Linked DNA regions of Mus musculus. Each later gene encodes a partner of the first gene's protein in a complex. Links are inferred from orthologs where the notes say so. Each region holds a gene or a part of one and is shown in the gene's direction. Other genes may lie near its edges.

Evidence for each region. Proteins that work in one complex are often made in the same cells at the same time.
Region 2: Txnl4a (region 1) and Aar2 share a complex: the UniProt entries of both Homo sapiens proteins name them as parts of the U5 snRNP complex. The link is inferred for Mus musculus from reciprocal best matches to the Homo sapiens genes TXNL4A and AAR2.
Region 3: Txnl4a (region 1) and Lsm5 share a complex: the UniProt entries of both Homo sapiens proteins name them as parts of the precatalytic spliceosome. The link is inferred for Mus musculus from reciprocal best matches to the Homo sapiens genes TXNL4A and LSM5.

The regions. Positions count from the first base shown.
Region 1 is NC_000084.6:80,202,935-80,213,393, forward strand, and holds the start of Txnl4a (thioredoxin-like protein 4A), read left to right. Parts: upstream 1-3,891; 5' UTR 3,892-3,967; exon of another isoform or gene 3,968-4,127; intron 4,128-4,219; 5' UTR 4,220-4,256; coding exon 4,257-4,409; intron 4,410-5,175; coding exon of another isoform or gene 5,176-5,295; intron 5,296-7,127; coding exon of another isoform or gene 7,128-7,166; exon of another isoform or gene 7,167-7,196; intron 7,197-8,478; coding exon of another isoform or gene 8,479-8,523; exon of another isoform or gene 8,524-8,558; coding exon of another isoform or gene 8,559-9,221; exon of another isoform or gene 9,222-9,800; intron 9,801-10,459. Other genes in the region: Gm16286 (N-alpha-acetyltransferase 11-like), read left to right, coding at 8,559-9,221. UniProt on the Homo sapiens protein: Plays a role in pre-mRNA splicing as component of the U5 snRNP and U4/U6-U5 tri-snRNP complexes that are involved in spliceosome assembly, and as component of the precatalytic spliceosome (spliceosome B complex).
Region 2 is NC_000068.7:156,543,676-156,554,168, forward strand, and holds the start of Aar2 (protein AAR2 homolog), read left to right. Parts: upstream 1-3,900; 5' UTR 3,901-4,208; intron 4,209-6,176; exon of another isoform or gene 6,177-6,352; intron 6,353-6,973; 5' UTR 6,974-7,017; coding exon 7,018-7,774; intron 7,775-10,493. UniProt on the Homo sapiens protein: Component of the U5 snRNP complex that is required for spliceosome assembly and for pre-mRNA splicing.
Region 3 is NC_000072.6:56,698,107-56,708,575, reverse strand, and holds Lsm5 (U6 snRNA-associated Sm-like protein LSm5), read left to right. Parts: upstream 1-3,876; 5' UTR 3,877-3,907; coding exon 3,908-3,953; intron 3,954-5,166; coding exon 5,167-5,262; intron 5,263-5,542; coding exon 5,543-5,570; intron 5,571-6,407; coding exon 6,408-6,480; intron 6,481-7,286; coding exon 7,287-7,319; 3' UTR 7,320-7,513; downstream 7,514-10,469. UniProt on the Homo sapiens protein: Plays a role in pre-mRNA splicing as component of the U4/U6-U5 tri-snRNP complex that is involved in spliceosome assembly, and as component of the precatalytic spliceosome (spliceosome B complex).

The DNA.
Region 1 (10,459 bases):
CCAGCCTTGTCTATGGTGCAAGTTTCAGGACAGCCAGGGCTACACAGAGAAACCCTGTCTCAAAACAAGCAAAGACCATCCCATCTCTTCCCCACAGCAATAAGTGGGTTTTCCAGAGGCAAGGGCAGCTGCTGATACCACACAGCCCATTGTCTTATTCTTCTCACACGTGAAGTTCACTAGGCGCTCCCAGGCATCCCAGAGCAAAAGGTCTTCAGGCATGCCTGGCTTCATAGTAAGAGTCTTTAGCCATCACAGGGGACCTGTGTAAATCATTACACAGGTTAGCGAAGGCTACAAAAGTTTTAAAGAGGTCCCAGAGTTCAACCAGGCCTTACTGGAGACAGAAGCAGATAGCTAATGCAGACAGGGAGAGTCACTGCAGGTGTTTAGAAAATATAAGAAACCCAGCTGTAGATCTGCTGGAATTTCAGAGCCGAGCTTCAGGGTCTCCGGTACAAAAGTTAGAGCTGATCTTAAGATTAGAGCTGAGCTCCAGAGACTGTGGAAGGCAAGACACAGAATAATAGTGGCAAATTGCAAAGCTGGTGTCCAGACAGACGAGCAAAAGGTGGGAGGTTCACAGTTGGAGCGGGCCCCATCAAGCAACAACACTCATGCTGCCCTGAAAGCGCCATAGGCAGTCGTTTTGATTACCTTTGGACACCTTGATGAAAGGGTCTCCCAGTAACAGGCTGGCAGGCGGGGCTGGAGCCATTGCTGTCACGGTTGCAGAAGTCCTCTTTGTTATGGGGCTCAATGCAGGGGTGTTGCACACTCATTCTTGGGCCTGGTTTTCCTGAGACTGTTTTAATATGCCCATATGCTACCCATTTACTTTGAAAGCTTTTCATCTGATCTCTTTTTTAGTTATAGAAACATTATTTCTTAGCCTTTGCTTTATAGTTGGTGCCAGGTAGTTTTTGGTATCTTTGAAAACAAATAAGATTCAAAGTCCACCCTGCCTTTCTTTCTTTGCATCGAAAATGGCATCATCTGGCATAAAACATGGCCTTAATCACTGTTTCACACAAGATGAAGTAGTTTAAAGGCAAACCACTACCTCACACAATATGAGGTGTGTAACAAGTTGGAGACAGTTGGGTCTTGGCTGTCCTTTGAAGCACTTACTAACAATGCTGGGCCAGGGATCAGACTTGGGCATCATTTCACAGAGGTGCCAGTCCTCCAAGAAAGCGAGACAGACTTGAGGAAGCAGTTAGGCATGACCATATGAGGGGAAGGGGACACCAAGAAAACAAAATTCTCTAAATCAACATGAGCAAGGATCATATACATTCACAGAGACTGAGGCGGCCTGCACAGTGCCTGCATGGATCTGGATCTACACCAGGTCCTCTGGGTGTGTGCGTGTGCGTGTGCGTGTGCGTGTGCGTGTGCGTGTGCGTGTGCGTGTGTGTGTGTGTGTGTGTGCGTGCATTATTGTGGCTTCCAGGTTAGTGTTTTTATGGGACTCCTGAGTGTGTGAACAAGTGATTCTCTGATCCTTGTGCCTTCTCTTGGGAGTTTTCCTTCTGCTAGTTTTTTTTCATGTCCAACTTTGATGTGACTGCTCTTGTTTCACCTTATGTCTTATTTGGTTACATGCTATCTCTTAGAAGCTGGTTCTTTCCTAATGAGAGATAGAAAGAAGAAGGAGCAAAGCTCCTGATTTGGGGGGGGGGGGAGCTGGGACGAATAAAGGGAGAGGAAACTGTAATCAGGATATAGAATGTGAGAAAAGAATCTATTTTTAATAAAGGGGGAGGAACCTAAATGCCAACGAGCTAGTGGAGAAATAGTACAGAATGGTGTATCTGTGTAGCTGAATATTAAAATAAGAGGAAATACTGATGTGTGGAACTTTAGAGCATGATGCAATCTAGACTTGATAAACCAGCTAGGAAGGACTACATATAATTCCATTTATTGAAATGTCTAAAATAGGTCAATCTACAAGCAAAACATAGATTAGTGATTACCATAAGCTTCAGGGATAAGGAAATGGGAAACAATTACTTTTTCTTCTCAGAGTGACCTTTTCCCTAGAATTTGATTGTAGTCTCAGTTCCAGTTGTCTGACCCTCCCTGATGATATTTAGAGTATATCTACAGTATATGTTAATAAATATTTGTATTAAAGTATTTTAAATTTTTAAAGATTTATTTATTTATTATATGTAAATACACTGTAGCTGTCTTCAGACCCCTTTTCTTCTCTCTCTGTTCCTGCTTGATCTGGCCCTGTTCACTCCAGCCCAAAGATTTATTTATTTATTATACGTAAGTACACCATAGTTGTCTTCAGACACTCCAGAAGAGGGCATCAGATCCCATTACAGATGGTTGTGAGCCACCATGTGGTTGCTGGGATTTGAACTCAGGACCTTTAGAAGAGCAGTCAATGCTCTTAACCACTGAGCCATCTCTCCAGCCCCTAAAATTATTTTTATTTATTTTTGAGACAGGATCTTATATACTTCTGAATGGCCTCAAACATACTATGTATGATCCAAGGATGAAGTTGAACTTAAAAAAAAAAAAGATGTATGAGTATGAATGTTTTGCCTGCACATATGTGTAAGTGCACTGTTTTGTGCCTTGTGCCTGAAAAGGCCAGAGTGTGCTGAGTCCCCTGGAACTGGAGTCATGGACGTTTGCCCACTGACATACGGGTGATGGAAATCGAGTCTGGGTCTTGTTTTATTTTGTGTGGCTTAGTGTTTTGCCTGCATGCATGTCTGAGTAAGGGTGTCAGATCTTGGAATTACAGCCAGCCATCATGTGATAGCTGGGAATTGAACCCTGGGTCCTCTGGAACTGCTGAGGCAACTCTCTAGCTCCAGAACCTGGGTTTTCATGAAAAGCCACAAATGCTTTTTATTTTGGAGTCATCTCCTCAACCGTTGCTTTTTAATTTGTAATTTTTATCAGGAGAGGGATAGTGGTGACTTGTACTTAATGCCAGTAAATGGTTAAAGTGGCAAACTTAAACACGTGTGTGTGCGCGCGTATGCGTACACACACACACACACACACACACACACACAGATATGGTAAAGAAAAGTATTCCTACTTGTAATAGCTTAAGAAGATGGTTCAGGAACACTGCAACGTGGTCTTGTAGGGAGGAAAATATGTTCAATTACCAATTGTGGAACATTATGGGTGAAGAGGAATGGATCTGTGAAAGAGAAATTAGGAGGATAATGGCTGAAGCCAAGGAGATCTGACCTCTGGGATAAGGTACAGGTCCAAAAACTTGATTATATCCAAGAGTGTCTGATGATGCAGAAAGATATTTTACAGAAGAATGCATAGATAGGCCTATGGAAAAGATCAGGAGCATGGCTGAAGTTTGGCCAAAGACTTGCCATATTTCTCAGCACAATAAAAAAATAATAAGCCGGGCGTGGTGGCGCACGCCTTTAATCCCAGCACTCGGGAAGCAGAGGCAAGCGGATTTCTGAGTTCGAGGCCAGCCTGGTCTACAGAGTGAGTTCCTGGACAGCCAGGGCTACACAGAGAAACCCTGTCTCGAAAAAAAAAAAAGAAAGAAGGAAAAGAAAAGACAAAAATAATAAAAATAGAGACAAATTACCCCACAACACTAGACGCGTTACGAGGTGGGGACGCTTGGGTCTCGACCGTGCTCTGGAGCACTTGCTAAAGAGGCTGAGCGCGAGATTAGACTCGGGTATCCCCGCCCCCTCGGCAGAGGCACCGAGTCGCCAAGAAGGCGAGCTCGACGCGCTCACCGACGGCTCGCTCTGCGCAGGCCCAGCTCGCTGGGCGGCGACCAGGGGTGGGGTGGGGACCAAGAGGCCGACGGCGACGTCCCCGCGCATGCGCATGACGCCAGCGTGCGCCTGCGCAGCAGCGCCGAAAAGCGTCAGCGCGTGACGGCGCGGGAGGAGCTGGTGCTGGGTGGAGGACGCGGTGTTTGGGCCGCGTGGGCTCACACGAGGTTAGAGGTCGTCTGGTGTGGCCCCATGGGGCAGGGGCTGCCGGGGTGTGTTCCCTGCGGAGGTGGCGATTCGAGGGTGTGGTTCCCGTGCGAGCCGAGGCCCTGTATGGGCTTTGGGCCCGGGGCGAGCAGTGGAGGTTTGGGGTGCGGTGGCCTGCAGGTTTGCAGTGGGGCCCTAGGCAGAGTCTGGGGTGCAGGCCAGGTTCTTGGGGTCCGGATGGGGTCGCGATCCTCTGCTCTTTCTACCCACAGGTAGCTCGCGGCGTCCGGCCGCGCAGGCGCGCTCAAGATGTCGTACATGCTTCCGCATCTGCACAATGGCTGGCAGGTAGACCAGGCCATCCTTTCGGAGGAGGACCGCGTGGTCGTCATTCGTTTCGGACACGACTGGGACCCCACTTGCATGAAGATGGACGAGGTTCTGTACAGCATCGCCGAAAAGGTAACTCATGTGCAGTGTTCGCCGTGCTGGGCCCCGCAGGGCGGTTTGGACGCCAGATTTCAAGCCCGAGTCCTGTGTTCCATGCAGAGACCCACAGAGAGACGGGGTTCATGTACGGGCAAGGTTTGTGCTAGAAATGGTTAGAGTTTCTTAAAATTTGAAGAAATTTATGATTTCCTCCTAAAATAAGTGATGATAAATTTTGGGGGTTTTTTTGTGATTACGGAAGGGGATGGATGGTCCGAGATAGGTCTTGTGTATGTATCTATATGTATATATAGTCAGACGGACCTTAAACTCGCCGCCTCAGTCTCAGAGTTCTGGGATTACCGGGCACCACTGTGGATGATGTTTTAAAAAATTTACTAGGGCCAGGTGCGGTGGCATATGCATTTAATCCTAGCACTCTAGAAGCTGAGGCACTGATCGTTCTAGGCCAGTCAGGACTGTATAAGACTGGGTCTCAAAAACAATGTATCGCCGGGCAGTGGTGGCGCATGCCTGTAATCCCACCACTTGGGAGGCAGAGGCAAGCGGATTTCTGAGTTCCAGGACAGCCAGGGCTACACGGAGAAACCTTGTCTCAAGAAAGAAAAACAATGTACCTTATGTGTAGTCAACAGAGTGACTTTGCAAGCTTTGTTGAGCTTGTTGGAGCTTACTTAGGCGGCTTAGCTTAACATTATTGGCCTTTTCTCAATATTTTATGGATTTATTGTATTTATGAAGCAGAACTTTTAGGTTAATACCATGATGGACTTTTTAGCCCCCACCCCCTCTCTGGGAGAGAAGAAAACCGGATTCACTGTGTCGCCCAGAGGGACCTTGCACATTCTTTCCTTCTCCCTGCCTCCTCCCAAGTCCTGGGATGAGCCTCAAGCTCTTTGTAAGTTACTTGATTTGTAGCTTGCAGTTATTCAAATGCTGAAAGTTGAGTTTGGGTGGAACTGGTGTTCTTAGTTTTCCATATTTATAAGCAGGGTGGCAGTACTTGTTTCCTGACACTGGAAGTGTAATTGTCAGGCACTGTTACACGATTAGGAGGTTCATTCTGTGAATTCCTCTTCACGGTTTTAGGATGACTTAACTTTTTTATGATTGTAACAATAGGGCAAAGACTGTAATATTTAATGATAAGTAATTTCAATATTATTTTATTTACTTTCTTATTTATTTGAGACAGGACCTCCCTACATAGCCCTGGAACTTGTGTAGACATGTATCTATATGTCTTTAGACCCTGCAGACAAGTCTATCTGCCTTTGTCTCCACCTTCCAGTGCTAGCTTTAAAGGTGTTTGCCACCATGCTTAGCCTGAAAGTCAAAGAAGAGTTAACACTGATAGAAATGCTGGAACTATTTTCCTTCTCACCCATGCTGCTAACGCCTGCTGGCTTAAAGTAGTTCTTAGCTTTCAAATGACGTCTGCCACAGGATTGTCACTTTATTTACTTGAGCTATAAGTGAGGCCAGGGTCAGGTGCCTTGCCACTGAACCATAGTCACCATAGCAAAGACATTCTCTGGAGTAAGACACGGGGATGTGTGCGTGTGAAGGAAAAGCAGCAGCATTTGGCTTTCTGCTTCCGTGTTGCGGAGAGGCTGGTGGAGGGCAGTTCTGACATCCAGTTATCACAGGTGTCTCTGCGAGTGCTTCTCTGGAAGCTTGGAACACGGTTGGTCTGGGCTGAGGCCTCCAGGGGATTCGGTGCAGATTAGCTTCTGAGGAGCAGCTTCTCAGCCAGCCCTGCCCTGTTCCTCTGGGAGTCTCTCTCCTGCAGGCGTGCAGGCTGTCCTGTCAGTCAGGCTAGAGGTACGAATGAGGTGATTGGGTCCCTCAGAAGGCAAATGCAGAGATTCACTGAAGCACCACTACAAGCAGGTCCACGGCTGAGTCTGCTTTAGTTGAGGACAGCTGTCCTTTAGTTATTCTGACCTGAAGGTGGTTTGACCAGTGTCAGGAGGGCTTTCCTGTCAGGAGGGCTGTGTCTGAGGCCCTTTGCTCTTCCCCAGCTAAACAGAACTTAAGCGTTTCCCGTACTTGTTATCTTGTTGTCTCAGTGCTGCTCAGGTGCAGACAAGGCCAGCCATCCCACTCACCAGACATGCGCTGTATTTGGTGTTGGGTTCATTGGTCTCCTTCAAAAATATTTCCTTTAGTCTTTTAATTTGCATTTTCTTTTGTCCAAAAAATGTGATTGCATTCTTAATGAGCTCCCTTTTTGCTCCTCTTAATAACTCTGGTACCACCATGCTAGCCAGGTGTCCTGTGCCCGTCCTCCTCAGTCACTCTTCACCTCGGTATTCACTGAGGCAAGGTCTTTCCTTAACACTGAGCTTGCCAGTGAGGCTCGTCTTGCTAGCCAGCTTGCTCTAGGGATCCTCTGTCTTCCATCTTTTAGGACTAGAATTAAGGTAGGCCATCATATCTTCTTGATATGGGTTTCTGGGGGTCTGAACTTGGGTCCTGCAAGCTCTTTAACCACTGAGCAATTTTTTCCATACTCTTAATAAACTTTTAATACTATGTTTTAGTATAGTTATTAAAAATGTAAGTTTGAATTACATTAAAATCACTGTTGTTCTACTTCCTTAGTGTAATGGCAAAATACACATTCGTAAGTTTGGGAACTCCAGGGAATTTTCAACATAAATTTTTGAAATTTAAGATTTTAGTATGTAAAGAACAGTATAACTATTTAAAAATCTCCCTCCGCAGAAATGGAAGATAGTGGGAGATCTTCCTCATCTTGTATGAGTCCTGTTTGGATATCCCAGCTGTTTTAAAGTGAGTAAAAGTTACATGTGTGTGCAGGCTGGACTTGAGTGCCCTAAAGTATGTTGCTTTAGCCAGTGTGCTGCTGCTGCTTGCAGTGTGCACCTCCCGTGATGCTGGAGTTACTGAGTTCAGTACTTGAGGAAGAACGGTGGTAGGGAGCACGCAGACTTAGATCTAGTGCTCACTGAGTAGGTCCTCTGTAAAATGACTTCAGGCAGTTTTGAAGAAAGATTATTTCCTGAACCTTCTCTTTTCCCATGGGGTAGGAATGTACTTTGTCACAAAAGTGCTTCTAGAGATCAGAATTCCCTTAATACTGTGACATACAAAAATGGTGAGTGTTTTTAATATACTAAAAAGCCCATACAAATGGCATTTAATATCTTCAGGGATGAAATGTGATGGTGTGTTCTGAAAGAATCATTGTGGCTGGTGAGACAGCTCAGCAACTAGAGGCATTGCCACAGAATCCACATCAGAGTCAAGGAAAGAACCAATTCCCTCATTTATTCTCTGACCGCCACACATATGTGATGGCGTGTATGTTCTACATATATATACACGTTATACATACAAATGCATGACAAAATTTTAGAAGACTATACAAGACAAATAATGTCCATAGGGCTTTTAAAGAATAATAGGGAGCCTGTCCTGTACGAGACTAAGGATTACTGTTGCCCATGCTTTCTAAAGTTCCATAGCTGCAGGAAATAAATCCACTGGGCAGATGCAAAGCAGTGTTTTTCCTTTACATTTTAGATTTTCAAAATGGTTATTGGAGGAAAAAAGGAGTGGACATCCACTTTAATCTCAGTTTTATATAAATCAGGTGGAAATTGTAGTGAACTGTGAACTGGTAAATGGCTGGCCAGTAACAGGAGACTATATGCTGCTGGTCCATATCTTACCCACATGGGAGCATGAGCCAGAGCCCAGGCAGCCCCTCTTTGAGATCCGTTGCACACACACTGGTGCAGATAGAACCCAAGAAGGCTCAGAGGTTAGCAGGGACCAGGGAGGTCTCTGCTGCACTGGCCCCTTCTCCTCTAACTCCTGCACTGTGTGTATCCCATCTTCGCTAGAGGATTGCGGGCTTTGCCGAGACTTCGAGGTCCTGTTGGATAAGAGCATCTCGGAGCATGAGTACAGAATTAAGGTGGTGTAGTTACATTGAGGCTGTTTAACCAGGACTATCTATCTGATAATCCGTACTCTCCAGAGATACATTTGTGATGACAGTGCTGTGTTTCTTGAGTTTTGAAATACACCTTTGTGTCAATTCCTCGAGGCAAACGGTGCTGGTGTCGCTTGTGCTCTGAGGCATCCTCTGTGATTGTGTGGAGTCTGACAGGCCTGTCTGCCGCCAATATGAACATCCGCCGGGCTCGGCCAGATGACCTGATGAACATGCAGCACTGCAACCTGCTGTGCCTGCCCGAGAACTACCAGATGAAGTACTACTTCTATCATGGCCTCTCTTGGCCCCAGCTCTCCTACATTGCTGAGGACGAGGATGGGAAGATTGTGGGCTATGTCCTGGCCAAGATGGAGGAGGACCCCGATGATGTCCCTCACGGACACATCACCTCGCTGGCTGTGAAACGCTCCCACCGGCGCCTCGGCCTGGCCCAGAAGCTCATGGACCAGGCTTCCAGGGCCATGATTGAGAACTTCAGCGCTAAGTATGTATCCCTGCATGTCAGGAAGAGCAACCGGGCGGCTCTGCACCTGTATTCCAACACCCTGAACTTCCAGGTTAGCGAGGTGGAGCCCAAGTACTATGCAGATGGGGAAGACGCGTATGCTATGAAGCGAGATCTCTCGCAGATGGCCGATGAGCTGAGACGGCAGCTGGTGCTGAAGAAAGGCAGATATGTGGTTCTGGGCTCCAAGGAGAATCAGGGTAGCACACTTCCTGGTTCTGAAGAGGCCAGTCAGCAGGAGAACCTGGCCGGAGGTGACAGTGGTAGTGATGGCAAAGACAGCACTGATGTCCAAGACAGCTTGCAGACCCTAGGGTCCGCCTCCTAGAGCCTGCCTGCCTGAGCACTGCAGGTCCTTGTATTTTAGCCACATTGTTCTTGGGAACCTTGCTCTGTGGTCCCTGAATGGGACCTGAATGGCTCTCCTTTCAAAGCTTTAGCAGCAACCTTCTGCATAACCTGTGTGATCATGGAGGCACACCTAGACACAGAACCTGCTGTGCGGGAGTCAAGGAAGCCAGCCCGAGGACTGCCGTGCAGCCCTTTCTTGGCTTCTCCACGCTGCCGTCACATGCTGCTCAGTACTGTTCTGACTGTGTCCTGCAGCTTTCTGCTTGGAATGCCAAACAGGAAGTGGGGACAACTCGAGGTCCCCAGCTTCCAGCCTTTGCATTATTTATCTGTTTGTTTGTTTTCCTTGGAGTAGAATCATCAAGTACTGCCCTTGCTTTCTGTGGAAACTGCCCTGCCCGGCCCTCCCTCTTTTTGAAGAAGAATGGTCCCTTTCCTGAGGGAGAAGGTGATAGGTGTTAGACTAGTACACAAGCAGAATTTGTAGCTCTAAGGAAAGAACACGCAGAAATTAAATTGCATTCTCTAACCTGAAAAAATAAAAATATAAAAAGGAGTACACGTTTGTTGTGGGAATTCATTGGTCAGTCCTTACCTGGTGCTTTGGGTTTAGTCTCCAGGGCACCTCTGCCGAGGAAACATTCCACCTGGTGGGGTGTTGGGTTTTGCTGAAGAGTTATAAAACTACCGAGGCTTTCATTTTTGAGAGGACATTGCTCTTCCCAGTTTCTGTCTATAGGGACTGGGGAGTCGAGTTGGCTGTAAATAATCACAATAATCCCCATTTTGACCTTTATTGGATTGGTAGTTAAATCTGTAGAAGGCAGGTTCGTCTTTCCATTATTAATAACTTAACTTTGTTGTATTGCATATGAAATGAGTATTTCTACTTTATGACACTTAAGATGTTGGCAAGCCATTAAAAATGGACAGACTAAGCCAGTGGTGAGGAACCCCTTTGATCCCAGCTCTCCATCTAGAGGCAGGCAGACCTCGAGTTCTAAGCTAGTCTGATCTACACAGCAAGTCCTGGGCCTGCTGGGACTACAAGTTAAGAGCTTAGCAAAACTCTTGCCAGGAACCTGGGTCTTTGGTTTGTGGTGTTTCCACCTTCACCCCTCCCCTCAGCGCCCTCTAAGAAGAACAGCAGGTCCCTGGTGTCCAGCACAGGGCCCTTCATCCACAGAACAGAGTGAAGGCTGCAGGACACGATCC
Region 2 (10,493 bases), on another chromosome or scaffold:
CCCTCACAAAGATAAAAAAAATAGTGGTTGACCAGTTGAAGGACTTCCCTAAGGAGATCTTTTTTTTTTCTTTTTGAGCCAAATAAAGAGAAAGAACCAGTAAGACTTTCTAGGCCAAGGGGACAGTAAGTATATGGGTCCCAAGACCTGGGAGGGGAGGTGTAGTGTAATCTGTCTTTTTGAAAGAAGAGCAACTCCCCACGTGGGAGCCTAGTGAGAAATGTGCACAGCAGACCCAGCACGGGCTCATGTCACCCATCCCACTGCTGACTTACTTTTCCTTAAAGGAATTCACTTTGAAAATAATTATTTAAGAAAGGAAATTAGGGGGCCAATGATGACTCAGCAGATAAAGTGAAAGCACCTGCCACCAAGCCTGACAGCCTAAGTTCAATCCCCGGGACCTACAGGATGGAAGGAGAGAACCTGCAAGCTGCCCTCCCATCTTTATATGCACTTCATGGTTCATACACACACACCTGCAGACACACACACACCACAGGCACACCACACACAGCACACACACACACACCTGCAGACACACACACCTGCAGACACACACACACACACCACAGGCACACCACACACACACATGCCCACACACACGTGCAGACATTCCCCCACCACACACACACACACTCCGTAGATCTTAGCACTAAAAGAAAGGAATGAATAAAGATTGAAATTAAAATCAACATCTGTGTAAAACCTAATCTTCTTTCTTAGGGCATCTGAGGTATACATTCTACAGTTTCTACTTTATCCTGTCAAGAAAATCACCCCAGTTCCCCTTTCTATATCACTCCAAATCTCACAAACAAGTCTTTTTTCCATATATATTTATTTTCAGAGTCAAAGTCATCTTGCACATATCATCCTAAATGCTTTAAAAGCTTAGATTCTGCCGGGTGGTGGCGGCACACACCTTTAATCCCAGCACTTTGGAGGCAGAGGCAGGTGGATTTCTGAGTTCAAGGCCAGCCTGGTCTACAGAGTGAGTTCCAGGACAGCCAGAGCTACACAGAAAAACCCTGTCTCAAAACAAAACAAAACAAAACAAAACAAAACAAAACAAAACAAAACAAAACAAAATAAAACAAAAACAAAAAAAAGCTTACATTCTGAACATTTTCCTGTCATTTTAGATGCTATTAACTGCTTTCCTCTGTAAAGCCAGCTCATTAAATGATACAAAGGCTACACACTGGAAGAACCCAGTCTTCTCCAGAGTCCTATTTGTTGTGTAAGGCAATTGCTGCAGGGAGCTTTGAGAATGGTTTCCAGAATTTTCCTCCTAAGTTCCATTTAATGATCAGTTGCTTTTAGGCTCCTGGACTAGCACTTGGTTTACAGACATTGGCACTGCACCTCCTGGACCTGGAGAATAACCGGGGTAGTTCATCCGACTCAATGCTTCCTCAGCTCAAGTTGGAAAGGGTATAAGGTAGCAGTTTCTAGAAAGACTTTGCATTATGGTTGACCAGTGTTCTAGAGATTGGATCCTATGTTTGCAGCTAGACTTCTTCCAATCCACAGAACAGCTGTCTGCCATCAAGAATTACCTACCTCACATACCATGGGTACCAAAGTTGAGAAATGGTGCTTTGGATGAGTGTAGCTCACAAAGCTGGGTGTTCCAGGCCAGCATCTTTCTATCCTGCAACTTCCATGTCCAGTGTTAAATGCCCTGGGACTCTAAAAATATGGAGAAGCCATATGAAACCACCTGGAAGCTCGGAGCCCACACCACAGAGTTCAGCACCTAAGAAGGGAGTAGAGAGGGGAGGGGGAAGGAGTTGAGCCAGTTCCCAAGGGAAATGGAACTGATAGGGAAGGTTGAGATTGACTGCCTGACTCACCTCTGGCTAACCTGTGGCAGCCCACTGTGATTAACTATGATTGCCCTGTCTAGCCTAGTCTGCAGCCCCCTAAAACATGAATTGTGAAGTTGTGAGTGGGGCAGATTGATGTGGTCAGCTGTCGCTGGGGAACAATGACACACAAGAAGCAGCAGCACAGGGGCTAGAACTCCAGCTGCTTTTAGATCACATGGTTTGTTTGTTTGTTTGTTTGTTTGTTTGTTTGTTTGTTTGTACTCTTGGGGTTTGTGGTGCCTCTGTGAAGCTCAGTTTCCTCTTTTGTAAATTGAGAATCCTAATTGCCAAGTCTTTATCCCTATACTTGGTCATTCTTCTCCCAGAATTGTAGCACCAGTAAAAAGATGGAGGACATATCTATCAGCAAGGGATAGGAACAGAGATGGGAGATTAAACTCAGATCAAGCCCTTTACCAACCCGGGCTTATAGATATGCAGGTATGATGCAATCAATCAATAGCCAGTAAAGGGGGCAGAGGGACTCCCGTCCTTTCTGGGAATAGCAAGGCTTTTCCAGGAATTTGGGCATGCTTTTATGGTTTCTCTCCATTGACAACCATCAGTGCTGTAGGAAGGCCACTTAAGAGGCAGGTGGGCAATAGTGAAGTTGGAGGTTATTTGTCTTCTGCTCTGTCAGCCATTGTAGCTACAGCCAGTCTTGGTAAAGTCACCCGAAGAAGAGACTGAAGGCCTTTGAGAATCCTGCCTTTATAGATAAACAAGCTTACAATCAGGTCGGGAAAGTTGGCAGTACAAGATTAGAGGAGGGTCACATCTTGGCTATGGTTAGTGAGGAGATTAGAAGTAGTATCTATGTATCTCCCAGTAGCTCTGGCTCATGGTGGAGTTCTGATGTACAGAACCACTGAGCACAAGGTTAGTGTACTGGCTCTTCCTGGTTGTCAACTTGACTATATCCGGAATGAACTACAATCCAGAATTGGTAGGCTCACAGTGACCCTAATCTGGAGGCTGGGAGATGCAAGTGTCTGACCTGGATAATGGCATGGAAATCTTGAGGCATAGTGGTTATGAATCCGAGAAGATTAAGACAGGGGAGATCTCTGAGTTTAAAGTCATGTGGGACAAAGCAAGTTCCAGATCCAGGTGTGATGGCACACACCTTTAATCTGGGCACACACTTTCTGCTGGAGACCTACATAAGGACATTGGAAGAAGGAAGATTCTCTCTCTCTCTTGTTCACCTGCTTGCCTTGTGGGACTGAGCAACTGCTAGATCCTTGGATTTCCATTCACAGCTGCTGCTCACCATTGTTGGAGAGCTGGACTACAGACTGTAAGTCATCAACAAATTCCCTTACTATATAGAGACTACCCATAAGTTTTGTGACTCTAGAGAACCCTGACTAATACAGCAAGGCCTATGGATAGTCATTTACTATACACATCATTTGATTTGTTATTAAATACACAGTACATTTATGAGGGCTATGTGCTAGGTTCTAAGGAAATAGAGAAGAAAAAGACAGTCAGGTTTCCTCACTCAGTGCACATTTATAGCTTGACTGCTGTATTCTGTAAGGCCTGGAAAACACTGGGTGGTCATTTCCAGAGGAACTGCTGTGTTTGCGTTTGAAGGGACTGGTTCTCCCTTCAGGCAACAGCCTTGGTTCTGAAACTAGGGATGAATGTGTCTGGAAGCCGGGACTTGGAGATAATAGGGAACTTTTGACATGGTGACCGGCATAGGAAATGTGGCTAAAGAGGACCAACCATGACTGAGCCAGTCTGTGGCTACTGTGTGCCAACACCTGAACCATGCTTTGGCCAGCCCGTGTCTGCTTGAGACCAAAAGGACTGTGGATGGTGAGTATGTTTCTGGACGGGGATATAAAGTGGATAGTTTAATTAAAGTCGTTATTTATAATTCGGGAAGTAAAACGAAACAGTAAGAAGAAAATGAAGTGCTTATCGTGAGGAACCTGGAAGCACGGGCCATTTCTTCTGAGACTCGGGGCTCCGCCGGACTACTTTTTCCGTAGCACCTATCCGGCACCAAAGCAGCCGAACTTCCGTCCCGTTTCCGCGGAACCGGAGCTTGAGGTGCTACGGTGAGTGTCGGCCCTCGGTGCGCCTTTCGGCCTCCGGTTTCCTTGTGTGTGGTCGGGCCACCTCGCTTCTTGTCTCAGAATCGCGCTGGCGGAGTCTGGCTTTGTGAGCTGGTGTCTGAGGAGGCCTTTCTTCCTGAGAACCCGTCCCTGAGGACACCGTGGTCAGGGTCTCTGGGGCTCCCGAAGGAACTTCCCCCCACACCCCTTTAACTGTAACCAGAGAACGAGACTCACTCGAGCTGGATCTGCGTGGCTTCCGGTAAGTCACCTACCCGGCTTCCTGGCTTTATTTAAAGTGCATATTATCGTAAGTTAAAAAAAAAAAATTAAGCTTCGTGTGTATGCTAGGCATCAGGGACTCGAGTCTTGTGGGCATGACAGTCTTCAACCAAGTACACAAAGTTACACACCTGTCCCTGGAACTGAACGGCAACAGGGTAGCCAGAGTGTCATCACCAACATTTGACTTAGTCCCGGGTCGAGGAGGCTTTACTAAGATTAAAAAAAGAAAAATAATTGTGTGACCAAGTGCTATGGGTAGAGTTTTCTCTGGTGTGAGGGTAAGAAAGAAGCCAGTGTGGTTAGAACAATCCTTCGGATTGGGGTGGTATTAAATTAGCTGAAGAGTTGCCCAGGGAAATTCATGCAGCGTTTTCGGGCCATTCCCTAAAGCCAGATAGAGAACGCATTGAGGACCAAGTACTCTCCACTCTTGGAAGGCGGTGAATACGCTGAGGAGTTGTCTCTGTATTGCAGGCTTGTGAAGAGTATTCGTTTGTGTTTCAGACTTTTTTTTTTTTTTACTGTGAACTACAGTCACAAGACTTTTATGCTGTGATCACATGTATATACAAGCACATGTCTTCTTGGAACCATTCCTATCCTTGTTACTTGTGGCATTCCAATAGCTTAAAAGTTCTCTTCTTGGTGCTGGAGAGATGACTTGGTGGTTAAGAGACTTGTCTGCTCTTCCAGGGGACCTGGACTCAGTTCCTAAGGGCGCCATGGTGCTAAACCCACCTCTAACTCCAGTGTCAGGGAATTCAGCATCCTCTTCTGGCTTCTGTGTAACTTTTCTCATTATTTCAGATAGCTTTCTGTCTAAAAATGATTTCCTTCCTTCTTTCTTTCTTTCTTTCTTTCGTTTTGTTTTGTTTTGTTTTTTCGAGACAGGGTTTCCCTGTGTAGCCCTGACTGTCCTGGAACTCACTTTGTAGACCAGGCTGGGCCTCGAACTCAGAAATCCTCCTGCCTCTGCCTCCCAAGTGCTGGGATTAAAGGCGTGCGCCACCACCGCCCGGCTAAAAATGATTTCTTAACTCAAGATACATCTTGCAGTTTGAAAAAGAGTGCTAATTTAGAGTCTTTTCTCCTGTTTTTTTAGGTAAAGACAATGAAGTGTGCTCCTAATATTTTTTTGTAAAAGGATTTTTTGTTTGTTTTAAATAAAAGAGTAAACATCAAGCAGCACTCGATTTTTCTGCTTGTGTATTTTGAGGCCACTTCTGTGTAAAATACAAATATCTGGTTTTCAGTAGTCTTATTCTGTGGATATTTCTTTTGGGGCCCAGTAAAGATCCTGGGTAGTGCCTGTAATCTGAGTGTTTTGTCAGTAGGATGAGTAAGTGACTTAGTACTCAGTTCAGTAAAAGTTGAAGTACTTGATTGGCTTGCATTGATTGGTTCTTGCTGAAAACATTCTTACAGATACTGCAGAGACGACAGTGTCTGCTACACAGTTGTTTTTAGCATCGAGTGCATGTGAGTGCATGATGGGGTGGTGGGTCATATGCTGGGGCAAACATGTGAAGGTTAGACAGCTTTGTGTGCTCTCTTTTCTCCTTCCACCCTTGAGTGGGCTCTGGCCATCGAAGTGAGGTTGTCAGGCTTACAAGGCAGGTGCCTCTACTCACTGAGCATTTGCCAGCACCCTCAACCCCTTTGCTTTTAATCAAAGTGTCTTTATAGGGAATTTAAATGTGGATAAGATAAAGAATCCAAGCCTCTCCTCAAGCACTCACTGTAGACCTGCCATGTCAGTCTCTGGCGGGATTGTGACTCTGGGGAAGTTGTTTGATCCCTGGACTTTCAGTGCTTTTGTTTTGTGATTGTTTGCTTGTTTTTAAGACAGTGTCTTGTGTATGTGTCCCAGGCTGGCCTCCGGTTCACTGTGTACTGAGAATGACTTTAGTGTCTGATCCTGTGCCTCTGTCTTTGTCTATCACAGAATTTTTTTTGTAATCGTTTTTGTGGTTCCAAGGATCCTTTGTGTATAATGGACAAGCACTGCACCTGATGAACCGCGTTCTCACCAGCCGCTTGGTTTCATTGTTGATTTCTGAGAAGACCGTCTCTAGCAATCAAGGGTGATTTTGAACTCCAGATCAAGGGTTGGGAATACAGGCATGTAGCACTGCACCCTGGCAAGTTGTTTTAAACTAAGAGCCCAGCCCTTTGCTTTCCCTCATTTCCAACTAGGCTTTTGATGAGTGAAAGAAGGGAGTTTGAAAAACTCTCCTTCGCTCCTCAGACTTTTTGTTAATTTTAGATGCTCATGGAAAATTAGGTAGCCAGTTTGATTTGGTCATCTTATGGTACTCTCCAGTAGCAGGTTTTAGGTAGAATTGTAGCTTAAGGCGACTTTTGCATTCTTCTAATTTAAAATGAGCCATTTGAGCCGTTTCTACCTTCCACTGCTGTTGAAAGAGGGACATCTGATGGGCAGTGGACACAAGCCTGCAGTACCAGCAGGCAGGTTTTATTTTGGTACTGTGTGACCACCTGTCTTTAAGTGGTGCCCCTGGAGTGGTGGAATGAAGACTCTTGATCCTTAAATCAAAACCCCCAAATCTCTTTGATTCTGATTTTCCTCATCTGTTAGACAGATGCAGGGTTGCCATGGAGATTAAAGGGAGTTAATTTCTGTCAGGATCTAATTCAATATTTGACATAGAGAATGTGCAAGAAATAAAGTATTCTTTTCCCATATTCTGATCAACTGTTTCTGTCTCTCTTTCTCTGTAGGAGACAGAAAAGAGCCCTGCTTTTGGTTACCCTCCACTGGCTTCATGTCTTCCATGCAGATGGATCCAGAGTTAGCCAAGCAGCTCTTCTTTGAAGGAGCCACGGTGGTCATTCTGAACATGCCCAAGGGGACAGAGTTTGGCATTGACTACAACTCTTGGGAGGTGGGGCCCAAGTTCCGGGGTGTGAAGATGATTCCCCCTGGCATCCACTTCCTGTACTACAGCTCTGTGGACAAGGCCAATCCCAGGGAGGTGGGCCCTCGCATGGGCTTCTTCCTCAGCCTGAAGCAGCGGGGGCTGACAGTCCTGCGCTGGAATGCAGTCCAGGAAGAAGTAGACCTGTCTCCAGCTCCAGAGGCTGAAGTAGAAGCTATGAGAGCCAATCTCCCAGACCTAGACCAGTTTCTGGGACCTTACCCATATGCTACACTCAAGAAATGGATCTCACTCACCAACTTCATCAGTGAGGCCACCATGGAGAAGCTGCAGCCTGAGAGCAGGCAGATCTGCGCCTTCTCAGATGTGCTGCCTGTGCTTTTCATGAAGCACACCAAGGACAGGGTGGGGCAGAACCTGCCCCTCTGCGGCACCGAGTGCAGAAGCTACCAAGAGGGCCTAGCCCGGCTGCCCGAGATGAGGCCCAGGGCTGGGACAGAGATCCGCTTCTCAGAGTTGCCCACTCAGATGTTCCCAGCAGGAGCCACACCAGCAGAGATCACCAGGCACAGCATGGACTTGAGCTATGCCCTCGAAACTGTGCTCAGCAAGCAGTTCCCTGGCAACCCCCAGGATGTGCTTGGTAAGAACGAACTAGGCTTTGGGGAAGGGTACTAGTGGGGGTACTTGGCATACTTAGAATAGAGGGCTTATCTTGGGTTATCTAACCCAGTGTTCTTAAAGGGGCAGAAGGTGGACGGATTAGTCGTCATCAAAAGGCATTTCACCCTTAGCCTAGAGCTTTTAAGTCAAGAGATCTGTATCGGGACTAGCTGTCTGTCTGGCTTATCTAATAATTTGAGCATCTTTGATGAGCTTGTGCACATAATCCCATGTTTGCTAATTGCTGACACAGCCCACCCTTGCAGAGAGAAAGGATTTGACTAATAGAGCAGTCACATTGAGATCCGAGTCCAAGGCTCCCGGTTGCTAGGTCCAATCTGTCTGTGTTATTAAAGCCTCCACCTGACACCTCAGTTTGCTTTTGAGTTCTTAAAGTGTTTCTCTCTTCACTGGCTTAGAACAGGACTTTTATTTTTGTTTAACTTGTTACAGTTTTATCACTACTTGAGCTCTTTTTTTTGTTTGTTTGTTTTTTGTTTTTTCAAGACAGGGTTTCTCTGCTAGGTTTCTTGCTGTCCTGGAACTCACTTTATAGACCAGGCTGGCCTCAAACTCAGAAATCCACCTGTCTCTGCCTCCCAAGTGCTGGGATTAAAGGCTTGTGCCACCACCACTCAGCCCTCTACTTGCACTCTTAATTTTAAAATATGTACTTATCACAGAATATAAATAAAGTTCACTAAGTTCTATCCCCAGAAATATCTATTTTCATGGTTGAATGCACTTGTACTTTTTTTCTTTTTCCTGTGTATTTCTATGTATTTCACTTGTCCTTTATGTTTCAGACTTATCAGTTCAGTTCTATTGTATGAGTGTATGTGGTTTTTATAGAGACAGGATCAGAGAGCAGTGTTCTGTGCTGTGCTGTGCTGTGAGCATTTCCCCATCACTGCTCACCTGCCTTACGGCTAGCTGTACAGTGCCCAGAGCTGTGGAACTAGTTCTCAGTGGCCACTCCTTAGGCGCCCCTATTTTCTGTTGTAAATGGAGCCTCGTAAGCACTGGTGAAGGTACCTGGGTTTAGGGTTGGATTGTGGAAGAGTTACCAGATTTGCCTCCTCAGCAGGGGTTGGAGGCAGTTCTTCACCGTTGACAGCACTCAGCATGGATTCTTAGCAAGGGCCTGTTCAGTTCAGTGGTTGAAAAGCTGCCATCTTCTTTCTATCTCTGAATATTAGTGACAGCAAACATTTGGCATGCTTTTGGTGTGTGTTTATGCACATGTCACATATGGCGGCCAAAGGTTAGCCTCTGGGGTGTTGTTCCTTAAGTACTGCTAACCTTTTTCTTTTGAGACAGGGTGTCTCATTGATCTAGAACTCACCAAGTAGACTGGTAGTAGACCCTGGGTGGATGTCTGCCTGTCTCTGCCTCCCCAGTGTTGGGAGTGGGAGCACTTGTCCCACCACTTCAGCCTTTTAAACTCCAGTTCTGGGGCCTGACTCTGGTCCATGTGCTTGAGAGACAAGCATTTCCCTGACCGAGCATCTCCCAGCCCCTGCTATACCTCTAAGGCCTGTCCTTAATGTCTATAAACTGTCCAGGGCATTCACATAACTTCCTATTGGTGAAGGTTGCTTATAGAAGTTTGGTTATAGACCTTGTTATATCCTTGGCTGAACTGATGATAAAATGGACATTTTAATAGGTGCATCATGGAGCTGGAGACATGGCTCAGTGGGTAACAGCACTGACTACTCTAATAAAAGACCCTGGTTCAATTCCAGCATCCACATGGCAGCTGTCGGTAAAGCCAGTTCCAGAGAATCTGGTGCCCTCTCACAGACGCTTGGACAGAACACATAAAAAGAAATAAATCTTTAGTAGGTGCATTATAGTGCAGGACTTACTATGTTATATTCGTAACCCCTGAATTCTTGCTTAAACATGACTAGGAATCTTGTTTTCTATCTCTTAAACATTTCAATATTCAAAATATATCTGTACCAGACATAGGTGGCACACTTGAATCCCAGCACAGGGAAGGCAGTTAGATCTTAGTGAGTTCCAGGCCAGCCAGGACCTTATTTCAAAATTTAAAAAAGGAGGAGGGAGAAGAGGGGGAGGAGGAGGAAGGAGATGGGGAGGAGGAGGAGGAGGAAGAGGAGAAAGAGAGAGAGAGAGAGAGAGAGAGAGAGAGAGAGAGAGAGAGAGAGAGAGAGAGAGAGAGAGAGAAAAGAAAAGAAAAAAATTTTGTTTAGGGCAAGTTTGAATCTGTGTAACAATTCCTTGAAATTATTTCTGATACCATCATTTAAATTTTACCATCAAAACCTCACAAATTTATATTAATTTCCTACTAGAGAACTTCCAGCCTAGCTTTGGCTAGTGAGATCCTTTCTCAACACCACCCCTCCAAATCAGTAACAGTAAATTAGGGCTGTGAATACAAAAGAGTAAGCTAATGTTAGTTCCACAGTTTAACCAGGTAAAACCAAACAGAGAAATAAGTCACTATGCAAAGAAAATTCCACAGGCTGGAATCAGGAAACCCTGCCTTTAATGGTGACCGATCAAATGCCATGCATGTGAGGGCTTATTTGCTGATTTTTTTTTTTTTTTTGATGGCCCATATATATATAGCTTAAATGTGGCCACCTTTGAAGCCAGGGAGTGCATCTGGTAGTCAGCCTGTGTTCATTTCTTGATAGTCAGGGTCTTGCTTTGTAATCCAGGAT
Region 3 (10,469 bases), on another chromosome or scaffold:
GTTTTAGAGTATAGCATTATTCATGAGATGGTTAGATAGAATGGAACTCCCTAGTTAGAACCATGACTTGGGTGTGAAAGCCCTTGCCCTAAGAGAGTAAAGACCTCACACCTGGCTTCTAAGACTATAGCTGAGTTACACCCATACACACATATTTACAATGGCCTAAGGGGAAGGTGGACTATAAATAGACTAAAATAGGAACTATGGCAAGGGCACGAAGCCCTTGACCCTGGCTTCTAAGATTAATCAAATCTTAGGTGGAGCCCTTTTTGATCCCAGTTGTTAACAATAAATTCTATCCCAGGTGGTTCCCGTTAGACCTGTGTTTGCATTCCTCTGTTTTATGTAAGATTCTGGTTACCTCATTTGTACCTTGCGAATATGTCACCCAACTTCCTTATTGTCTTCTGCATAAAAAGTCTGATGCTCGATTTGAAAAATACATTCAGATTCCACACAACCTCTCCTGTGTGCTTCTGTTTGTCACTCATCCGACGCTTTGCCCACCCGAGACTAGAGACCCGTTCCACGCAGACAAAGGGGCCCAGAGGGTCTGCGGCAAATAAGTAACAAGACATCACACAGAATACCTATTGCTGTGTACTAGATCTTGTCCTAACCAATTTTCATAGGTTATTTCATTTAATCATTAAAATAATATTTTAAGTTGGTGAGGGAGGTAGTTCCATGGTTAAGAGTATTGGCTCCTCTTCTAGGAGACCTGGGTTTGATTCCCATCATCTGCATGGGATTCATAATTGTGATTTAAGTCCCAAGGGATCTGGTGCCCTCTCTGGCCTCCATGGACACCAGACACATATATTGTGCACAGACAATAAGCTGGTTTGAATAAAAATGAACTCCATAGGCTCATATATTTGAATGTTTAATTTCCAGTGTTTGGAACTGTTTGAAAAGATTAGAAGGATTAGTAGGTGTGGCCTTAGAGGAAGTATGTCACTGGAAGCGGGGGGCGGGGCTTTGAGGTTATCAAAAGCCATGCCAGGACTAATCTTTTTCTCTTGGCCTGTGGATCAGGATGTAGCTCTCAGCTACTGCTCCAGTGCCATGGATGCTGCTATTACTGCCCCCCCACAAGAATGATAATGATCTAAAGCTCTGCAACTTAAAGCAAGTTCCCAATTGATGTTTAAGTGTTGCCTTGGTTGTGGTGTCCTGTGGGAAGCCACATGTGCTGTTGCTGAGTGGCACTGACTACTGCTGGCCACCACACATAAGATTGGACAAACAACCAATGTGTACATATGCAGTAAATTTTTTTGCAAAGACACTGCCTGGCCCAGGCATGATAATGAGGTTCTGTAAGGTACTGAGAGTATAACCAATCAGATGTGAGACATGCAAATGAGGTATGATAATGAGGTTCTGTAAGGTACTGAGAGAGAGTAGCCAATCAGATGAGGAACATGCAAATGAGGCTTAGTGCATAACCAATCCGGGTGTGAGACACGCCCCTCCTAGGCCTATAAAAGCAGCACCAGTTCTGGGCTCGAAGTCTTTTCGCCTCTACAATCAAGCTCTCCCAATAAACGTGTGCAGAAGGATCCTGTTGCAGCGTCGTTCTTCCTGGCCAGTCGAGCGCGCGCAAGAGTGTCCCTTCACATCAATAGAAAAGTCACAAAGACAGACATACATGCAAACGAAACACCCATATAATTAATTAATTAATTAATTAATTAAAAATAATACTGTGTTTGCCATTACTATCAGTGCTTCTAATAGAAAAACTAAGATTTAAAAAGCTTAAATAATGTACACATAAGAAAAAATAATTAGTAGAAACTGTGTTGGGGTTAGTGAGATGGCTCTAGATAAAGGTGTTTTCTGCCATGCTTGTTGACCAGAGTTTGAGCCCCGGAATACACATGATAGAAGGAAAGAACACATTCCTTCAAATTTTCTTCTATTACACATGTGTGTGCACTCATATGGTGCACACAATTCAATGTAATTTTAAAAACAGTTTTAAAAGCTTTTAAAAATTGTGAAGTTTGGATTTGACTAAAAGTCACTAAATTCAGAACCAGTGGATTTAATCACTATGCTATGTCCCAGTGTTCTTAGTCTTGAGGAATCGGGTTTTTGAAGGGTAGCTAACTTTGAATAATTATATTAAAAAATACATCCAAGTAATCCTGACAGCTATTGACACTGCTGTCAGCCAGCATCGGCCTCCAACAAGACTACACAAGTCAGGATAGGTGATCATCTCTGGCCAGGGTCCTGCAAACTGAACATCTTTACCAGGACATTGAGCAGTATCATGCAGTTAAATAGAAAAAAAAATGAGTGAAGACTGGGGTTACTCAGGAAATGGATTTGAAAAGGCAAGTGTTTTATGCTCAATGTGGGAGAAATGGGTATGGTTTAAAGACAAGATCAACAAGAGAAGCTTGGAGTGACACACATCCACTGCACACAATGTTTCCTTTTCTCAGAATGCGGCTTTTGCCTCTTCTCTGCTTACCCATTCTTAGTCACTGTGTGAGAAGACTCCCAACAACTCCTCAGTTCTTCAAGCTGTGGCCAAGGGACAGTGTTTTAACTTGTTTTAAGCACAAGGAACTTAATCCTGACTCTTACCTCAAAAGGATGGCTGTCAAGTGTGTTTGTAATTGCCTTGGGACCTAGTAGATCTGTAAGACTTATAGATTGGGCGTGGAGGAAAAAAAGCCACCACTGGCTTGGAATTGAGAATGGAGCTGAGTTTTCATTGCTTTCCATATTAAATCCCATAGTGCTGTGCACATGAAATGTACTATTTGTCCTCCTTCCCACTCTCTTGGTTGAAGACTTTTCTGAACATTGTTTTATGTATCCAGCAAGCTGCTAGTCAAACAATATTCCACTGATATGTTTTTTCAATGGAGGAATGAAGGGTGCTCATCTCTCATATTTAGGCTGTTTGGTTTTAAGTCTGTCACATGAGATGGACAAAGGCAAAGTATTTATCTGCTTTAACAACAACAACAACAACAACAACAACAACAAAACAAGCACGTAAACGAACAAACAAAAAACACTAGGGCCCAAACTCCGGGCCTCATGAATGCTAGGAAAGTACCCTATAGCCAAGCTACCAGCTAGCCCTTGTTAGTTTTAATTTCTTATTTTGTGTCGGGGTCTAAGAGGGCCATGCCTGCAACAGATGCCTCCTTTTGTCTCTCAAGTGTTGGGTTTACTGGCCACTCCACGTTAAAAGGGGGCTTTTTAATCTTTTCCAATGCAGAAGTGTGATAGCAAGGTTTCCAAACATGATGGAGTCAACATACAGAGTGACATCTTACGGTTGCCTGCAAATTGAAAACTGATAGTGACTTTAATGCCTGTAATAAACCAGACACCTAGAAACGACAAGAAGAAATTAAATAATAGTAGAAGTTTTTTGTTTGTTTGTTTGTTTGTTTGTTTTTTCTAAAAAAAAAAAAGCTTGTGAAAAATGCTGCTTTATAGACTTTCAGTCCTCTGGCCTTAAAAGTACCAGATTCCTTAAAAAAAAAAAAATGAGTAGTTGTTGAGGAGCATGCAGAACGAGTTTATAGTAGGAAATATAAATTGATTTTATTGCTCTGAAGAAAGATACAGGCTTGAAATGCAACCTTCTAGAGGAAAATTAACCGACTCAGAGATCTCGTATGCTGGTCTTCCGGCGGCAAATTATCTCTGAAGTTTAGCAAAACTTGGGGGTACCATAGGTGCCTGTTGGGTTGGTGGCAGGGATAGAGATCCGAACCTCTCTATCGAATCTGTCTGCGATCCATTGGGATCCTCTGGATCTCAAGATCGGCTTTGGATTAGTCTTGTCTGAACCAGCTGTGGAAAAGGGCGGAAGCGCGCAATTTTAAAGTCTGCGCCGGTGTCCTTAGCCACTTCCGGCGTGGCCATGGCGGCTAACGCGACCACGAACCCGTCCCAACTCCTGCCACTAGGTAAAAGTCTTGTTTGGGGAGCGGTCGGGTTGCTGCAATTCCACGCTGGGGGCCGAGGCTGGGCCACCGCCCCTCCGGGCCCGGCTGTCCGGTCCTTGGCGTCACTGGGCAGACAGACAGACCGTTTTGCCTGTCGGTGGTCGGTGAGGGTCCCACTTAGTGAAGGACGTGCTCGGCCTTTTTGAGCTCGCCAGTAAGATGTCATGAGTCGCGCAGTCCCAGTTCTCAGCTTGGCCTTCTTGGTCTCCAGATCAGGTAGACCCTGTATTGGCTTGGGTAAGGAGTGCGCCACGGCATACAATGAATCTTACAATAGAAATCTGGAAACTAGCCCCGTCGTTCATTAATTCAACAAGCAATTCCCGCGCAGTGCCAGAGAACTGTTGAATAATGAACTTGAATTACAGCCATTGCTTTCAAGATCGCACACCGGCACGCATCGTGCTGAGCAATTCTAAGATGCTGAGATGAACAGGTTGGCCCAGGAGCACAGAGAGTTAAGGTTAAGTGAGAGAAGGAGTGACGGGAAAGCCGGTGTCTGTAATAATGCTTCTCCCTTGTCATGTTTTGGGGCTGGTGAGCTTAGTGAATGTGTCTGTGATTGAAAGTTTTTGCAGTGTTAGATATTGTTTATCGGTACAAACACTGATGAAGAAAAACAGTTATGGTCTCCACCCACCTCATGGTGTGTGTTTTCATACATTAATCAAATAATCTAAATAAAAATCACAGTCCTATTAATTGCAAATAAAGAGTTAAGTGAAAGCTAAGGCAAACATTTGTGCTAACGATTAAACAGAGATTTGTGTAAGATGTAAAATTACCGAATGGTTCCAGATACATATGTAGGAGAGTATGGCCTTTTTTGACATCATTGGGAGGGGAGGCTCTTGATCCTGTGGAGTTTGATGCCACAGCATAAGGAGAATGCTGGAGTGGGTGGGTGGGTGGGGGAGCACCCTCATAGAAGCAATTGGGGAGTGGGGAGAAGGTAGATATGGGAGGGGTGTTGTGGAGGGGTAACCAGGAAGGGGGAATATCATTTGAGATGTAAACAGATGGAATGATTAATAAAAGTAAGTAAATAAATAAATAAATAGCAAAAAACTGAATGTTTTTGCTTATCTTTAATGATAAAAAATAATAAGTGAAGTAGGCATTCAAATGTTGGTCGATCTAATAAGTAGGTAAAATTACCCTTTTCCTTCCACAGAGCTTGTGGACAAATGTATAGGGTCAAGAATTCACATTGTGATGAAGAGTGATAAAGAAATTGTCGGGACACTTCTAGGATTTGATGACTTTGTCAGTATCCTTTTTAAAAGCGGGAATGGTGTAGGTTTCTAAAGATGTATTAATATAAGAAAGAACTATAGACAACCGAAGAATTTCTGGTTATTACATTAAGAATAATTTTGTTTTCCAGGAACTTGGTAGTATTTTAAGAGGTGTGTTTGCTGACAGTTGATAGGGCTCTTGCCAACAACAAACCTTTTGAATTTGCACTATCATAGTGTTGAACATATTTTAAACCAAACAAAAACATATACCTGAATAAACCTTATTTATTTTCTTAACATTAAATTCAGATATGGTGTTGGAAGATGTCACAGAATTGTGAGTAGTATTTAAAAAATTAAAAAAATTTGAGAGGAGGGGAGGAAATCTCTTTTTAATTAAAGATGGTGCCTTGATTACTTTTTTCTATTAATGTGAAGAGACAGCATGACAAAGGTATCTTATGGAAGAATGCGTTTAACTGGGGGCTTGCTTACAGTTTCAGATGGTTAGAGTCCCTGACTGTCCTAGCTAAGAGCTTATATGTTAGATAATAACCAAGAGAGAGAGAGAGAGAGAGAGAGAGAGAGAGAGAGAGAAGTAAATAGAGAACGCGAGCGCACTAAGTGGGTATAATTTAGGTTTTTGGAATCTCAAAGCCTAACAGGGTGATACACCTCCTCCAAAAAAGGCCACACCTCCTAATCATTTCCAGTTTGCCAACAGAGGACCAAGTGGAGGCCATTCTCCTTTAAACCTCCATAGCAGCTTTAGTATGATCGATATAAAAAAAATTACTTGTTGGAAAATACCTTAATACTGAAACGTTATTTACTGGTGTTTGTGAGGTCCAGTTAAAGGATTATTATCTTCATATTATTCCTGAATTTGTAAGAAATTAGTGTGAACAAGCTTTATGGTGAATTATATTTACATGAGTATTATCCAATGGGCAGTTTGTATTCTGTATATATTTACTGTAATTATATGCGTTCACATTGAATCATGTGTAAGAATAACAGCTTTGTCACTAGGGATTGAACCCAGGGCCTTGTGTGTGTGCTCTGCCACCAAGCTATTCTCCTTACCCCAGTAGGACTTTTAGGGAGGGAAAGTGTTTCTAATACTGCCTTTGATTACTTGTTTATCCAGACTCCATTTAATCTATCTTTTTAGTGAAATTACACCAGAAGGAAGAAGAATTACAAAATTAGATCAAATTCTACTAAATGGAAATAATATAACAATGGTAAGACATTAAAACTTTTCTCTGGAAATTATTTTACTTTTGTAGTGTAGGGATTATGGAACTGACTTAAACTTCTATTTCGTTGGCAATGTTCATGGCACTGAGATAGACACACTGAGGATGGGAAGGGAGCCTTGGTGATCTGTGCCTCAGGGCAGCTGTTGAAAGTGCTTTGGTCCTTGTCTTAGTCAGGGTTTCTATTCCTGCACAAACATCATGACCAAGAAGCAAGTTGGGGAGGAAAGGGTTTATTTGGCTTACACTTCCATACTGCTGTTCATCACCAAAGGAAATCAGGACTGGAACTCAAGCAGGTCAGGAAGCAGGAGCTGATGCAGAGGCCATGGAGGGATGTTCCTTACTGGCTTGCTTCCCCTGGCTTGCTCAGCCTGCTTTCTTATAGAACCCAAGACTACCAGCCCAGAGATGGTCCCACCCACAAGGGGACCTCCCCTCTTGATCACTAATTGAGAAAATGCCCCACAGTTGGATCTCATGGAGGCATTTCCTCAACTGAAGCTCCTTTCTCTGTGATAACTCCAGCTTGTGTCAAGTTGACACAAAACTAGCCAGTACAGTCCTTAGGATTAGCTTGCTTATTAATCTTTGTCGACTTCTAGCTCATCCGGAATCATTAATAACTTAGACGTCAGCTAGTGATGTAGGGATTACTAACAGATGGACTTGGAGAAGATGGGATGTGAAGGATGGGGGAGAGGCAAAGCTGGCTTTGGTCCACGAGGGACACGAAGGGTTTTTTAGGTGGTGTGGTAGTGTTATTAATAAATTCTTTTTCTCCAATGCAGCTGGTTCCCGGAGGAGAAGGGCCTGAAGTATGAATGGATTTCCTCGACGTTGTTTTCAAACCTTTAACATTTAGAGTCTATAAATGAAGTTTCCGTTAAAGGGAAACTCTTTGAAGATATACATCCATTTTTCTAAGCTAATCATGGTTATTTTGGGAAAAGAAGAGTTTTGTTTTGTCTTCTTTTTTTTTTTAAAGACTAAAAAAAATAAAGATGTTTTTGGTTAACTGTGATTTGATTTATTATGTCGAAGTAGCTCGTGAAGCAAATATAGTTTTTTGATACTTAGTTTCATATTGATTTCTGTTTATTTTCTCCCTCATTTGTATTAATTTGATTGGGGCAGGGGTAATTTTACTCAGTGGCTTGAGGGTAGGGTGGAGCAGAAGGGATCTGTCTAATGAGATGTCCTCCAATGGCTGTTCTCCCTGGCCTCTTTGCTAAAAGTGAACTTAGGTCTTGTTCTTTCAGAGATTTTCTTTATTTTTATTGTATGTGTATGCGTATCTTCCTGCATGTGGGCCTACTTCATATGCAGTGTCTGCGGAGACCAGAAGAGGTGGTTGGATCCCTGGTACTGGAGTTACTGTGGGCTGTAACCTGTGCAGTGTGGGGCTGGGAATTCAACCTGGGTTCTCTGTGTGAGGAGCTTGTGCTCTTAACCACTGAGCCATCTCTCCAGCTCCTGAACTGAACTCTGAAACAGCATTCATTCCAAAACAAAATGAACTTTGAGTTTGAATGTATCATTTAAAAAACCTTAATGATCCCTTAAGAAAATTCAGTTCAAACTCTATTTCATAATGATGCTTTTCACATTGAATTCAGTTTTTATTAATTCCTATTATAAACACAGACCATGTATGCTGTATTGTACAAGTGCAGGTAAGTCAAAAGAAGTAATCACATCTTATATTTTCCTAGCTTGAAAAGACATTGTTTTTTTTTTTTTTAACGTGTATGAGTACCTGCTTGTATGTCTGTGTACCGCTTACCTGCTTTGTACCCTCGGAGTCCAGAAGATGGTGTTGGATCCCCTGGCACTGGTCTTTTCCTATACTTAAACCAACAGCAACAACAATAAGCATTTACTTACTTTGGGTGTGAGTGTGCCCTGTGGGTGTGTGAGTGCCACGGAACATGTATGGAGGTCAGAGGACAACCTGCAGGACTCAGTTCTTCTCTTCTCTCACATGGGTCCTGGATATTGAATTTAGTCTATTAGCCTGAATAGCAAGTGCCTTTCCCGGCCGAGCCATCTCACCCACTCCTGTCAGAGGCTTTTTGAGTGTGTACGTTTAATCAAAAATTTGCTTTTCCTAAATTTTAGACTCCATGCTAAGCGCAATTTTAGAGACGGTTAAATGATGAGTATTTTTCTGTGTCAAATATTTCAGCAGTAATATCTATAAAGTTTTATTAAGTGTTTTTACTATAAATTATTTCACCTATGCTTATTGGCTACAGTCATTTTAATAAATCTTTATAGTTCTTGTTTTTCCTAGAGTAAATTCGTAGAGCACATATTTCATATTGCCAACAGGAAGTTTATTTCATGCTACTTTTGCCTGTTTTTCCAGTCCCCTTACACCCTTTCAACATTCAACTATGCTGTAATTTTCTCTTCCATGTGCTAAGCAAAACCTGATTTAAAAACTTTTAGAAACTTACTTTGGACTTACTTGTATTTTTGAGTTATTCGAGGCCTTCTCATCCAAGTCCTTTTTGGAGGCACTCCCTTCCAGGCTGGCCTTGAACTTGCGATCCTGCCTCAGTGCCCCAGCACTAGGGTTATAGGCAGGTTCTACCACATTAGAGTTATATAAAGTAGGCCTGGTGAGATGGCTCACTGGTTAAGAACACTGGCTGCTCACTCAGAGGTTCTGAGTTCAGTTCCCAGCAACCACAGGGTGGCTCATGGCCATCTGTCAAAGGGATCTGATGTTCTCTTCTGTCATGCAGGTGTACCCGCAGACAGAACATAACAAATAAATCTTTAAAAAAAATAAAAAATGTTTGTATCAAGCTTTGGCCTATGTGTTTTAAACAATTTGCAAAAACTTGGTTTTTTTGAGACAGGGTTTCTCTTTATAGCCCTGGCTGTCCTGGAGCTCACTTTGTAGTCCAGGCTGGCCTCGAACTCAGAAATCCGCATGCCTCTGCCTCCCGAGTACTGGGATTAAAGGCGTGCTCCACCACGCCCGGCTTTGCAAAAACTTTTGTGAAATTATTTTACTCTTCTTGTTGCTGCAACAAAATACTTGACAAAAGCAACATAAGGAACGAAGGCGTTGCCTTCCCTTGTAGCTCCAGGGCAGGTGAGTAAGCATCGAAAGGAAGGCATGGCAGGAGTGTGGGGCAGCTGGTCACACAGTATCCACAGCTAGGAAGCAGAGGGTCATAAATGCTGCTACTCAGCTCCCCGTGTCCCTTCTAGTCAACCTAGGACCCCAGCTACGGGATGATTGCCACCTCAACTTTAAGAGAATCCCCTACAGACATGCCCAGGGATTTGTTTCCATGGTGATTCTAATTCCCATCAGATTGAAAATTAAGATGAATAATCAAATTATTTTTGTCACATATTTTGCAAATAATATTCCCAGCCTATAGTTTTGCTTTTAGTGGTATTTTTAATATAATGTACTTTTATGAAATTATGTTTACCTAGGCTGCATTTTCATCTGGCACAAATTGATCAGAAAGTTCATTACTCTGTGTGTGTGTGTAGGGAAAAATATATTTAATATTATATTAAATAATATGATATTAAGTATATATAATATATTATTTAATGTATTAAATATTTTAATGTTTCTGCTTTTAAAAGCAATCTTTTAATTTCCAGAACAAAGTTACTTACTTGTAATATTGTTTGACTTGTTTGGTATAAATATTACTTCATTGCCTAATTTCAGGATAACTATGATTTGGTTGCTTGCTTGTTTTTTCCTTTTGGAACAAGCTTAATGATGCAATGGTGGTCATTGCAACTCTCTTTTTTTTTTTCTCTGAGGACCTAGTACTCTGCAGGGAGCACATGTTCTTAACTTTAGTGTGCTGTAAGTTTTATAGGCAGAGGCATAGTTGCCCAAGTGGCTGCATGGATGAATCCACTTGCCTGCAGTCAAACTAGGTCTCCTAGTCTGTTCTCAGAGCTGAGAATCAAGTCCAGAGTACTGT